Drosophila melanogaster: one gene and its partner. The protein of the gene in region 1 interacts with the protein of each later gene in a pairwise test. Each region holds a gene or a part of one and is shown on either strand. Other genes may lie near its edges.

What was found.
Region 2: the proteins of CG15330 (region 1) and CG4546 interact in a two-hybrid assay, tested with the Drosophila melanogaster proteins (one large-scale study listed by BioGRID).

Annotation. Positions count from the first base shown.
Region 1 is NC_004354.4:7,953,138-7,959,142, forward strand, and holds CG15330 (uncharacterized protein), read left to right. Parts: upstream 1-2,926; 5' UTR 2,927-2,984; coding exon 2,985-3,530; 3' UTR 3,531-3,565; downstream 3,566-6,005. Other genes in the region: CG15332 (uncharacterized protein), read right to left, coding at 807-2,497, 2,634-2,658; sws (swiss cheese), read right to left, coding at 4,281-4,661, 4,729-5,073, 5,134-5,345.
Region 2 is NT_033777.3:15,843,816-15,850,708, reverse strand, and holds CG4546 (uncharacterized protein), read right to left. Parts: upstream 4,176-6,893; 5' UTR 3,930-4,175; coding exon 3,921-3,929; intron 3,855-3,920; coding exon 3,604-3,854; intron 3,540-3,603; coding exon 2,426-3,539; 3' UTR 2,278-2,425; downstream 1-2,277. Other genes in the region: cv-d (crossveinless d), read left to right, coding at 48-438, 501-720, 778-1,009, 1,068-1,570, 1,694-1,809, 1,865-1,991, 2,050-2,277, 4,822-4,965 and 3 more; spn-E (spindle E), read right to left, coding at 6,603-6,735, 6,799-6,893.

The DNA of each region.
Region 1 (6,005 bases):
AGTTTGCATGCCCCATTATACATAAATATTATGTAATTAAGAAGCATAAGAAAAAAGATGATTGAAAGAACGAGAAGGGTAATCAATCTGAATTGGAAACGCTAGGATCATCGGATGTGAATTTGTTATTAGTTTTTACAAATTGTGTGTTATTTAGGCGGCGCTTCAAGGGAACTTCGATATTGTTTGAGCGCATATGTTTATTTTGAACGATCAAATTGAGCCACTGCAAAGACTAGCTAATATTTCAATATCTAGAAGTATATACATACATATATATAATAGGTTTTTCAAGCAAATTCAAAATTGTTGAAGATAGTATCTTCGGCAAAAAAAAACCTGGTTGTCTAGTAATTGGTATAAATTTCCATCAAGTTATAGAAAAATTGCATGTGCGTTACACGAAAAGACATGGAAGAATTGCTACGAATTGTAAATACACTGAAAACGAAGCTGCATCTTGTATAATTAAATATTAATATATCACAGTTTTATCTTTTTTTTTTTTTTACTAGTTATACAAATCTAGATGTTTTGGTTGGCCTCCTAGACTAACTAAATTCAATTCTGCAAAACAAACAAACAAGAAAAACACATGATTTAAGAGATTAAATGGCACAGCACAGCAATACACAATACACACTCAATACACACAATACACACACAGCCCCTAGTACTCTAGTACACCCAAAAAAGATAATGTAAACGTGCATTCTGAGTGACAAACCGAAAACCCTTAATAAAATTAAAAAAAAAACCATTACAACATTATATGTAATCAAAATACAAACATTGGAATAATGCATCTAGAAGTTCACTGTGCATTCGCAGCACTTGCGGATTGGCTGACGCAGAGCCAGCATGAGATCACGCTCCATCCTGTATATGTGATCCCGCATCAAGTCGTCGGTGTTGGATCGAATCTCGCCGCGATTCTCTAAGACCTCGCGCAGCTGGTCCAAGGCGAGTTCGGTATCGACCCCGGGCACTGGGTTCTCCTCGCCCAGCATACTCAATTCGGCGACGGTCAATTCGGCAATGGCATGAGACATAACATCAATGTCGCTATCAATCTTAAAGCACGAGAGGCATTTCTTCTTATTGGCCACATCTTCGCCTTCATCCTCCGGTTCAGGTTCCGGTTCCGGTTCCAGTTCGGGAAATTGAGACTGATAGTCTGCTGTATTTATTCCATCATCTCGAGTATCTGTGATTTTACTGGCACATTCCTTGGTCACCTTCGCAATGCATCCATCTTCAGAGGCCTCTTCGTAGCTTTCCACACTGTAAGCACCCGCTGGAGGCGTCGGTTTGTCCGATTCCATTACCAAGAAGCCCTTGGTGGAGGTTATGTGCCTACTAAGCCCCCCGAGAGTTTCAAGCGTTAAACTTGCAATGGACTTGGCACTTTCGCGGGCTTTCTTGTCAAAATTCATTCTGATTTCCTCTATCATATCGGTGCACTCACCATCGCGGGAGTATTTGCCCACAAACAGAGGTGGTGTAATGGTACAGTTGTGCTGCTGTTGCGGAGTGCCGAATCGACCTATCCGTTTAATGAACCACAGCTCCGAAAGACTTCCCGGCTTGAAGACGCAGCAGGCTTCGAATCCCTTGGGCATGAAACGCTTGGGCAGAAAGATTGGACGATTGACGCCCTCACAAATGGGAAAGACATCGGTGGGCAGGTCGAACGTGGGGCACTCCTCCTCATCACACATGGTGGCGAATGCCACAGATGGAACATGCGGATTGTTAACGGTGGACAGAATGGACACCGTAATGTTCAACTGGTGCGGCATAAGCATCAGGACTTTGGACAAATCCGGGGTATAAATGTTGTCCTGCGCCTGGACACAAGGATATGGATAGGGCGACGGTAGACGCATTGTTGCCGGCAAACTGTAGGCCACCGACAAGGTGAAGTCAGGGCGAAGCATTAGCTCCTCGGTTATATCATCATCGTAATGATGATCGGTGGCATGCATCTCATACACGAATGCGTCCTCTCCTTCCGGATTGTCGTACATGTCCAGGAAACTATCGATCATCGACGCCAGGCTGATATTCATGCTGCGCAGACCGACGAACAGCGGCGGCATTGGGCCCTCATGTTCCGTCCTAATCAGATCAACGGGATAGCAATCACGTGGAAGTACACCCGGCCCAAAAACCCCACCGGCTTCGAAGCCCATGGGCAACATAACCGTGGGCATAAAGACGATCTTATCTATCGGAGCGTTATCCGGGAAAAGGGAAGCCGGCAAATCGAAGCAGGGCGCCTGGAAGCCCTCAAAATATTCGGCTGACTGCTGATCGTGCTTATGGACATCGGGATACAGGCGGGCCATCACAATTCTGTTGGGGCTCTTGAAGAACATCTTCGGCATGACCAGATTGAACAGATAGGGCAAGTAATCGGCCTTCTTCAACTCTGTCACCTGGTTTTCGTCGCGATTCGCGGAAGCCACTTGCACCATTTCGGCCCTCGGTATGCCTGCAATGCCAATTGAATTTGAACGTTTAGAGGCATGAATAACTTATTAATTATTATTATTTTTTTTTTGATTTGACAGTTGAGATTATCAAACGAAGAAAAAAGCAAAGAAAAACAGGCTATTTTGTGTTCTTACCTCCCTTTTTTCCCCGTTTAGCCATTTTGATTTTCCTTATTGGTCCACAACACTAAGAAGCACTTAAATTAACAAAGTATCAAATTAAAAGTTCACAAAAGTTCGAAGTCAGCCGGTCAGCAATTCAGAGTTTCTATTATTCAGAGTTCTGCAAACGTGAAAACTCACTTCAATACTGAAAGTTCGCCTCCGTTTTTAGTGAGGTTAACTTGACAGTTGCCCCAACACCAATACAAATGCCTACACGGATCCCTGGACTATGGCTATCAAAATTATAGAATTGCCACCTTTTTGGTTAGTAGAAAATATTACAAAAAAAAAATATTGAAATTGGAAAAAAAATTCAACAAAATGGACGTTGCAACAACACTTTGGCGCTTGCAGCAGGCGCATCAGCGGCAACTTAACGAGTGGGACAGGATTGGTAGACGCCTCAAGCGGCTGACGGGCAAGAGGTCCAGCGACTTGCTCATCCACGATCCGCTCCTGCAGCCACCGTTCGTCGCCCATCCTGGCCAACGGATGAGCGGTGGTGGTCAGCAGACGCCGATGCCGTTGCCAATGGCCAGGAAGCAGACAACGCAGATCAGACGCAATCATCCGAATAAATCGGTTAAATTCAAAGCATCCAATAATAACACCTTGGATCTACTTGTCGTGGGTCAACAGCTGCAAATGCATCGTCCACCTGGACGACGGCATGTGCAGCTCCACAGTCCCATGTCCTCTCAGCCCCGCCAGCATATCGAAGAGTATGTCTATTTCTATCCGGTCCACTACCATGAGACGGACCACTGGCCACCACACGGCCAGCCGGAACCAAATCTTGTGGTGGATGCACGATTTGTGGCCGAGCTACTGGATGAGCTGCTGCTGCCTGCAGGCAATCGTATTTGATTTGTGCTTCGTTCAAATAAAAAAGAAACATTGCGAAAAAAATTTGAATTTTTCAACGGTCTTGTTTTTTCTCATACCTTTCGTAAAAACGAAATATGATTTCATTTCATATTTTAAAATTAACAATTGAACATACATAAAAAGAGCAAAATCTGTTTGTACTCCCTTTTTAAATTTATTTGTTTGCATTTACAAAAAAAATCCGACCATTAAACAAAAGATTTGTTGCCTAAAATAATAGAGAGACTACACGAGTGTGCGGCAATTTTGGGGCTAAATTTTGTGTTGAGGGGGATTCATTGCGAAGGAGTCTCAATTTCGGTACTACAATATCGGTTGCTTCAGTAAAAATATATAACTATATGTATATACAAAGTTTGTGGACTTCTTGTGCCTTCCATTACAATGTGTGTGGATTGGTTAGGTGAATGAGAGGGATGGGATGCAGGATTGTGGGTTAATCGTTTCATACGCTAAGCTAAGCCTAAGTCTTGGTTGCTATAAAACCTATAGGTTAACAATTTTCCTTGTCATTGCTATATTTTACTTCGTTTCGTTGGAGATTTGATGATTGAGTAGTTGCGGTTGCTTTCTTGGTGAAGTGGGGGGGGCGGGCGGTTACCTTGTGCCGTTGGGCGTCTGGCAAGCGAAAGGCACCTCGTCCTCGGCTTGTTAATGCTTCTTGTTGAGTATATAGCCACGCTTCGAATTTGCATTGTATTTGTAATTGTTTTGTTTGTCCATATATAGCTAGTTTTTGGTTTCGTTATTCGGGCTACTTCTGTTCTCTTTGTTCTCCTCCTTGTCTTTATCCACCAGCTGCTCAGCCGTAGCTCCCTGATCCTGTTGCTCCTGCTGGAGTTCCTGCTCCTGACCGGTTTGTGTTTTTGTGGCTTCAGTGGCTCCGCTGCCAGTCTCATCCTTGTGCTTCACACCCCAATGCCAATTAGACATATGTCTAGCCTCTTCCTTGCCGCGCATGTCCGACCTGCTGTTACTCGGCGGCGACGACTGTGTGGACTTGTCCGTCTTGCGCTCCAGCTTCAGGTCAAGCTCCACGTCCGAGTCCATTTCCGTTTCGGAAAAGGATAACGAGTTGCCAGCGCGCGACACCTGGATGCGACGCCGATCCTGTGCGAAATAATTATTTAGTAAAAGTATACATAGATAGATATTGCAATGTTACCGGATCACCTACCGTATTCAGTGTGGTCGGCTCCGAAATGTAGCCATCACAGTCTTCGTCCTCGCTAAAGAGTTCCGCGGTATTCACGGCGTATGTCTCCGGCAGACGGCACACGATCTGCGCCAGATCGATGAACGTGTACTCGTTGAGGGAGGCATGGTTAACCCGCTTGGGTGGCTCTTTGTTGAACCACTGATTGAAGCGGCCCAATCGACCAGCCTTGGCCATGCTCTCAAAGTAGTTTTTGCCAAACACATAGCCCACGTCTCGAATTTCGTCGAAGCTGCCGAAGGCTAGAGTCTTGTACTTATCGATCGGCGGTCGGATATACTCGCAGTAGTCGGAGTTTTTGACCTCCTGCAGAAAAAAATATGTTAATTGCGTTTTAAGTTCGATTTCATGGAATAACGTATGTACCTCTAGTTGGCGTACGCAGGACACATAGGCTAGTCGGGATTGGATGTCCGGCAAGTCGGGCACCTTCACAGGCGATGTGAAGGGATTCCATTTCTTGTAGAGCAGCCACCAACCGCTTAGGTCGTCGCCATAGTTGGTCAGGTCAGTGTCATCCTGGGATCCCACATCGATGGCGATTATGTGAGCAGCTCCAAGATTATGCATCACATCGGCTAAATGGTGGCCAAGGAAATAAAATGGCCAGCATGCGGGTGGTGATTTAGTTGGTCGATGTGTAGGATATGTTGTGAATGCAATACAAATGTTCAATTAGTTGTGCTTATTGGTTTTACGGTATTGAAAAACTAATTTAACAAATTGCGCTTACAATTTAGTTTTAATATATTGTAATCATTTTTAATTGAAAACAATTTTCAAAATTGATTAAATTCACATTGTAAACGCATTTGATTAATCTTATCCCGCAGCATCTCAGTCCTATGGCCAAGTCAATCATTTGTGATATCTGCGTATATCGTAAATTTTTAATTCGAGAGTAGAATGTGTGGATAATTTGATTGAAACTGGATTGGGCATTGGAATAAGATGCTGGGAGACGAGCATCGCGAATTTCCAAAACTGGAACGGACGCAGGGGGCGGCGCAGAGCGTTGGAATCAGGATCGTGCATCGCCAATATGGATGGTGTTTCATTTTTTTTTTTTTTACCTGGCACGTTGTTCGTGTAGCAGCCATCGAGCAGGAGGTGGCCGTCGCGGTAATCACAAAATGGTGGGAAGACGCCGGCAATCGACATGCTGGCGCGGCAGTACCGCCACAGGTGGCCTGTTTTTGTTTTTTTATCACAGGTCGGACAAAACAACAACAGCACAA
Region 2 (6,893 bases), on another chromosome or scaffold:
TTCCAAATAACCATGAGTTCCATATAAACTAATATCATTCATCGCAGGCGATCGCGACTTCGACCAGAAGATGTTGTATCTGCAGGGTCTAAACAACTTGCAATTGGGGAACGTGGCCAACTATCTGGAGCCCATTGTTCAGGACCCCAACGAGCACGAGGATCTGAAGTTCCAGGCCGCCTGGACGACCCTGGCACTGGCCGATCGTCGAGCGGAGCGCATATACGAGGTCTACTGGCCAATCTTTGAGTCCCGAAATGCCAGCCTAGAACTTCGTGTGGCAGCGGTTACGCTGCTATTGATTTCCAACCCCACGGCCGCCCGTCTCATCAGCATCCATCGCATCATTCAGAGCGAGACGGACCCTCACATGATTAACTACTACCGGACGACGGTGACGAGCATCTCGGAGACAACATATCCCTGCTATCAGCACCTGTAAGTCATCTAACTCAGCCTAATTCACAGCCATCCACAGATGTCGTATATCCTTCATTTAGACGCCGTCTGTTGTCCTACATGCATCGTCATCTGCCCCAGAAGCCCGAGTCACGCTACTGGGTCACCGGTAACTACATCTTTGACTATCGCGACTCCAAGTTCGGCATCGGTGCAATGCTTCAGGTATTCCTCGTGGGCGATCCAAAGTCGGACATGCCAGTGGTGGCCTTCTTCAAATTCGACACCGAAGCTCTAGGCAAATTCACAGGACAACTGGCGGTAAGTACAACCTCTCGGTGTTTCAAGAATCAAATAAGCCATCTCTACTTCTTCCAGCTATACATCAAGGCACGTGGGCTGCCAGATACCATCCTGAACAAGATGCAATCGCGAAATGGCAGCGATCCTTTTACCTTTAAGAGCATCAAGGCTCTATTGGCCATGCTGCAGGCTCCGATCATCAACTCGAAGGACCTGCATCTGGAGTTCATCCTGCAAATGGAGGGCAAGACGGTGCTGTCGTACTACCTCAACCAGCGGATGTTCCGGCAGCTGACCTACGACAACAGTGAGTACATTGACCTCTTGACCATCAGCCATGTGCGGTTCATGCCCGTTTTCCACAGTTCTGGAAAGAATGCAGCAAATCATTCGGACAGACAGTCACATAAACATGCAGACTGTTCGTTGGCCTTTCATGAATCGCTACACGGTGCCCACGGTGCTGGGAACCTCCTCCGACGTCCTGCTGCAGACCACCGTACTAACCTCGTTGCGTGGTAATATAACAGAGCAGCGGAACTCGCCCATAACCAAGCACACGCTGGAAATCGATGCCCGATACTCTTCATACGCCTCGGTGCGGAGTCGTAGCTACAATCCGTTCCTCAACCTCGATCACGAGATCAACCGGGAGCAGGGCTTCCTCATCTACATCCCCTTTAGCAGCGAACTGCATCTGAACGAGAGTGGCAGTAAGTGCAGGCGCTACTCCTTCTCCCGACCCCAAAACCTGACCAGTGGCCTGTCCTTCAAGTCGCGGGCGGTGACCAAGACCAGGGGTTTGATCACGAAGACAGCGGCGGCGCCCTTCGAAGAGATCATGGTGCCCGAGGGTCGGAACGATGTGGTAAGTGTTTTGTTGAGAAAAATAATACCAAAATATATGAAATAAATTAACTAAATTTAATTAACTACTTTAAGCATCTGAAAATGGGTAAAATTAAGAATAATAATAAAGTCAAGCTCGCAGGTTCAACTATTTAGCTACCCAATGACGGATTTGGGCGTCCGACTGAGCATGACCACCAATCTCAACGAGCTCATCAAGTACAGGGGGATGCTGCTAAAGTCCGAGTTCACGGAGAAGTAATTTTTGAATTTCGAAACCGATTTGCTACTCAGCTAATCACTTCACTTCCAGTGGGTTCTCCGGCAATATGGTGGTCAATGCTTTGATGTACATATTTGGCTTCACCCAGCTAAGTTCCATACACCTGGGCCACGATCGCAACTTTACCATGCTTATGTACAACGAGAAGAACACCAGGGTGAGAAATAAAATTAAATATTTAACAATATTTAAAGCTAAAACCAATTTTCGTTCAGATCGAAGGTAACTTTTGTGCCGAAGACGTTTTGAAAACGTCGGACATGAAAGGCAAGCAGATCGGCCTTACATTGGAGCACACGGACCACATGAACGAAAATCATGCTGCGGATGCACTTCATAGATGGAACATTACCCTGGACGTGCTGGCATCGACCAAGTCCAATTGGTTCAAGCTGACCGGCCAGGTTCAGCGAAATTCAAAGGATGACGAGGACGACTGGAAGGTGAGTGATTGTCTGTGGCTAGGGACAAATTTATTTAACCAAAGATACGTTTCTCCTGTTTCTCTAAGTGTTCGTCTGTGAGTGTTCGTGAGTACTTTATAGTGATATTAATTGCTTTACAAGGTTTTTAAGTATTGGCTATTTGTTTCTAACCCTCCTGTCCGGATATTTCGAGCTCTTCCTCTGCGTTAATCAGGGTCACAACGCCATCCTGCAGAGTTTTGACCAGTTCGAACTCGGTGAAACCAAGCTTCCTCTTATTTGATATGTCCATGACACCATCTTCCACGGTGGACAGCTCGCCGCCATCGGTGCCGCGTACCTGCAGCTGCTGTTCCTCGGCGAGGGCGAGTAGACGATCGGGGTCCTTGCTGAGTAGCGGCAGACGGATGTGCACCGAAGCCCGCAGGGTGGTGCCCAAATTGGTGGGGCAAGCCGTAAGGTTTCCATAACGCGGATGCCGGGCAAAGGCCAACGTCTTCTCCAGTTCGGTTAGACCGTTGACAAGGCGATTGTAAACATCGCCCAAGTCGCCGCACTGTGCCATGGACATAATGTGCACATGGTCCTGGCGATTCACCCAGATCAAGAAGGTCTCGGCGGGATTGTGGTAGACACCACGACCAGTTGGCCAGAAACGATAGCAGCCGGCTGTGGTCAGCTTCTCATCGCCGCGCTGGAATAATATATGTCTCTTGACCATCTCCGCCTGGGTCTCAGCATCGATGTCCGCCATTGTCAGATAGGAGCCAATCAGCTCGCCATCCATTGTCTCCGTGGCCGAACGCACCTTCTCCTCCACCTCTATGAATTGCTTCTCGGTCAGTTTGGGGAAGAAGGGCAGACCTTCGATATTGCGAGCCAATCTGATTCGTGCGGACAGAATGTACTTGCGCTCCGGATCCAAGTTCTCGATCTCGTCCACGTTGCCAAAGTCTGGGTCTTTCTGCAGCACATCGTTCTCGTTGTCCATCTGGCCATGATAGTCCTTTATGATCGGATCAAAGAGTTTGTTGAACACGTCATAGCTGTCAGCATCTGCCGCGAAAATGCCCACGGGCGCGTCGTGGTGCTCGAATCCGGAGACGGCGCAATCGTATAGGTAGGCATCCACCGGCGCAGGTGTGGTGACCAGCATGTACTCCTCCAGCAATTCCGGAGTCAGGTATTTGCGCAGCAGTGAGCTCACGTTCTCCTCATCATCCATGAGCGATTTGTAGCCCTCAGTAGTGAGCTCCTGGTACTCCTCCGGTGACTTTTTGCTATTGAGTGTAAATAGAATCTAAATCAAGACTGGACAGACAAGACGCGATCTTAGAAACTCACATTTGTCCGCGTAGCCGTTCAAGCTCCTGCTCCAGTTTCGAGATGTGGGTCTTGGCCTCCTCGAGGTCGTTCTTCATTACATCGTACTGGGCATCGTCCGGGCAGCTCTCGCACATAAACTTGCGTACAAAGCGAATGGCATCCTCCGGCTTATTCTGCTCTTCGTAAAGCTTAATCAGAGCCTTGCTTAAGGCATCGATGACTCCGGCGCGTTCCAAATACTTTCGATATTGGACGCGTTTTGACTCGATCTGGAGAAGCAGGTAAAGTGGCTACATAAGAATCCATATCTATTATGCTTCTTATATATCACTTACCGAAGTCATTTTGCAGTTTGTCCGACCGAGAATCAAGTAAACATAAATTTATAAAAGCAACGCAACTGAATGCTCCCGATGGCGGTACCGAAATAAAATAGGTCGAGAGCACTGGGTCTTTTTTCCAGATTTTTACAGCGTTCTTACAAAATAAAAGAAAATGTAATTTTTTCCCAAAACAAATTTACGACAGGAGAAATTCGTCTGAACAGTAGCGTAACTGGATGCCTTCTACTGAGCTCCCACCGAGTCGTATTGATCAAACGGGGCTACTTACACCGCCAGGCCTGCTTTACTCTAGTCCGGTTGCCAGACTCGGTTCTCGGTCTCGATTCCGGGACGCAAACAACCCACGAATGTGGGCCAACAATTGCGGCGACTGCTTGAGTGCTTGAAAGGATGGGTTGCGTGTGTGTGTGTGTGTGTAGTAAGGTGGCACGCAGGCACGAACGGTGGGGCGGAAGAGGGCCATACAATCATACAGTCAGGATGTGTGTGGGTTCGCTAATCGTTGCTGCAGTTGTTGTGGCTCCGTTGTCTGCTGTTTCGTCATGGTAATGTGGCCCACTCCACTCGCCTGGAGCTTCAGCGAACAGCTGAACCCCACATTTTCTTGCCTCCACGCTTGAGGAAAGCAGTGTAACTACATAATACTTACAGGGTGTCACACCCGCCACCCAAAAGGAGCACTTGACTCGTGCCGAGCATAGCTGGCTATTGACCTACTGGGACATACTGTGTGAAGAACCACCGGCTAGGAAATTAAATTGTATTCCATATTTCATAATTGGAAAATCAAGTTGACAGATTTTAGGTTTATTTTAAAAAGCATTAAAAAAAACACATGGTGTTTCACTTAAGGATACAGGATTTTCTCACTCATTTGCATAATTTTCCTTAGGCCTGCACCAAGTTGACCTATGAACCGCTGGTGTTTACCAAGCGACCTCACACTCTGAATGGCGATGTGGTGTTTGGCCTGGCCACCGAGGAGAGCGAGTGCCCGGAGAAGGGTTCCACGGTGCAGTTTGCAGCTAGAGCTGGTGTAAGTGTACATAAGCCCGAAGTGGATTCTCTTTTAACCCAACGTTTTCATCTCGCCAGCCCTCGGAGCATGCCCGTGCCTTCCTCCGCTCCGACAAGATCTCGCTGACGGACACCGACTTCTGTCCCAAGGAGGTACTGAAGTTCTCGCCCATACCCACTTCCAGGTATTGCAAGCGTAGCAACTTTGAGAACTTCACCTCGATCACACAATACGACATGGACCTGAAGTTTGACAATGTAAGTATATCAGATATATCAAATTACTTTCCGCTCCGAAAAGATATATAAAAGACCAATCAACTCACCTTTATATTTTTTAAGATGCCCGCCTGGTTCGAGCTGTGGTCGAATCGACTGGACCACTTAGTGTCCGCCTTATCCGCCGACAAGGTGGACAGTCTGCATATGAGCCAGGAGATAAATATATCAATGCAAACTCCTCAGGACCAGTTCAGGCTGGCTGTGGAGGTCAACGGAGTGAAGTGGCGTTTCCATCAGATCCCCTTCTTCTACAAGCTGGACTCGAAGTTCGACGCTTCCCACGAGCTTACCTTCGACTCAGGACTTAAGCGCTCCTGCTCAGTAATCAATGGCATAGTCAATACCTTCGATGATTACCTAATCAATCTCAGAGAGATTGCGGTGCGTCCCGACTGTCTCACGCTGCTGGTGGCTGACTGTTCGCCATTGCCACAGATTGCAGTGTTTGTTACGCCTTCGCCTGTTCAAGGACTGTCCACCAACTATGGATTACGAGTCCATATCGGGCAAAACTACTTCAACTTCCGCGCCCGCACAGACAACAGCAGCCTGCCCACGGATGAACCAGTGCTCATATATCTTAACCAGGATCAAACACCGCACAACGTGCGCAAAAAGCCATATCAATGGCCAATTGAGACTAGTGACTACGACTTCCGGTAAGAATGCTTTTTAGCTTTTATATACAATTTTATAAACGCCATATGCCCTTTCAGCGTGGAACTTAACGAGCAAAATATTTTAATTGTGGAGTGTACGCAGCTGTCCTCCACCATCCAGTTCGATCTGTACAACATCCTGAATTTCGAGATATACGGCGTGTATAAGCACCAGATGTGTGGGCTGTGCAGCAAGCCCCTAAACCGCATGCAGAATTATACGATCTGCGAGCTGGAGGCAAACACTCCAACTCCTGTGCCGCTGCAGAATTCCTCCGATGTAGTTGTAGTTGCATAAATATAATGTGTGAGTTTAATCTAAAATAAAAAAAAGAGCCCAAAAAGGGAGAACATGCACGCCCCAGGGCTTTGATTTTTATAAACAGCAAGCAGTTTATGGATTTTTGCTTGTAATGAACTGGTTAGTATAGCTGTCTTCGTATTTAATGATATCTTTAAAGATGTAATTAACAAAAAATTATATTTCACATTTTACACTTCGTAATTGAACGAAGAGAGATCATTCAACATAACATAGAAAATATTTAACGTAATGAAGATTTCTGTAGGTTTAGATTCAATTCAAAACTTGTTTTCATTCCATGAATACGTCATTTTTTTAAACCAAACAAGTGAAGTGTGTCCTTTAAGAAAAGAAATGAGAAATCAAAAAGTTCAAAATCAGCTGTTTTCATATTAAACGATGTAACCATTCTTATTGGTTGCAATAGTCGATTTGCTTTTCACGATCACGATGCAATATGGTCAGGAGATGCAAACGGAGCTGGGGAACCGATTCCAACAACTGATTGCACAGTTTGCAAGTCATATGGGGTAAAGTGCCTTCGCTAAAAATATAAGTTAAAATATAAGTAATGCAATATATTCTTGTAAACAAGCACCAGTCTTACAAGTTGCGCCATTTGTGCAACATGCTGCAGTTCTCTCTCAGTTGCACCAAGCGACCCGTGTCTTCCTCTTGGAGCTCAGTAAGTGAGTGCATCGG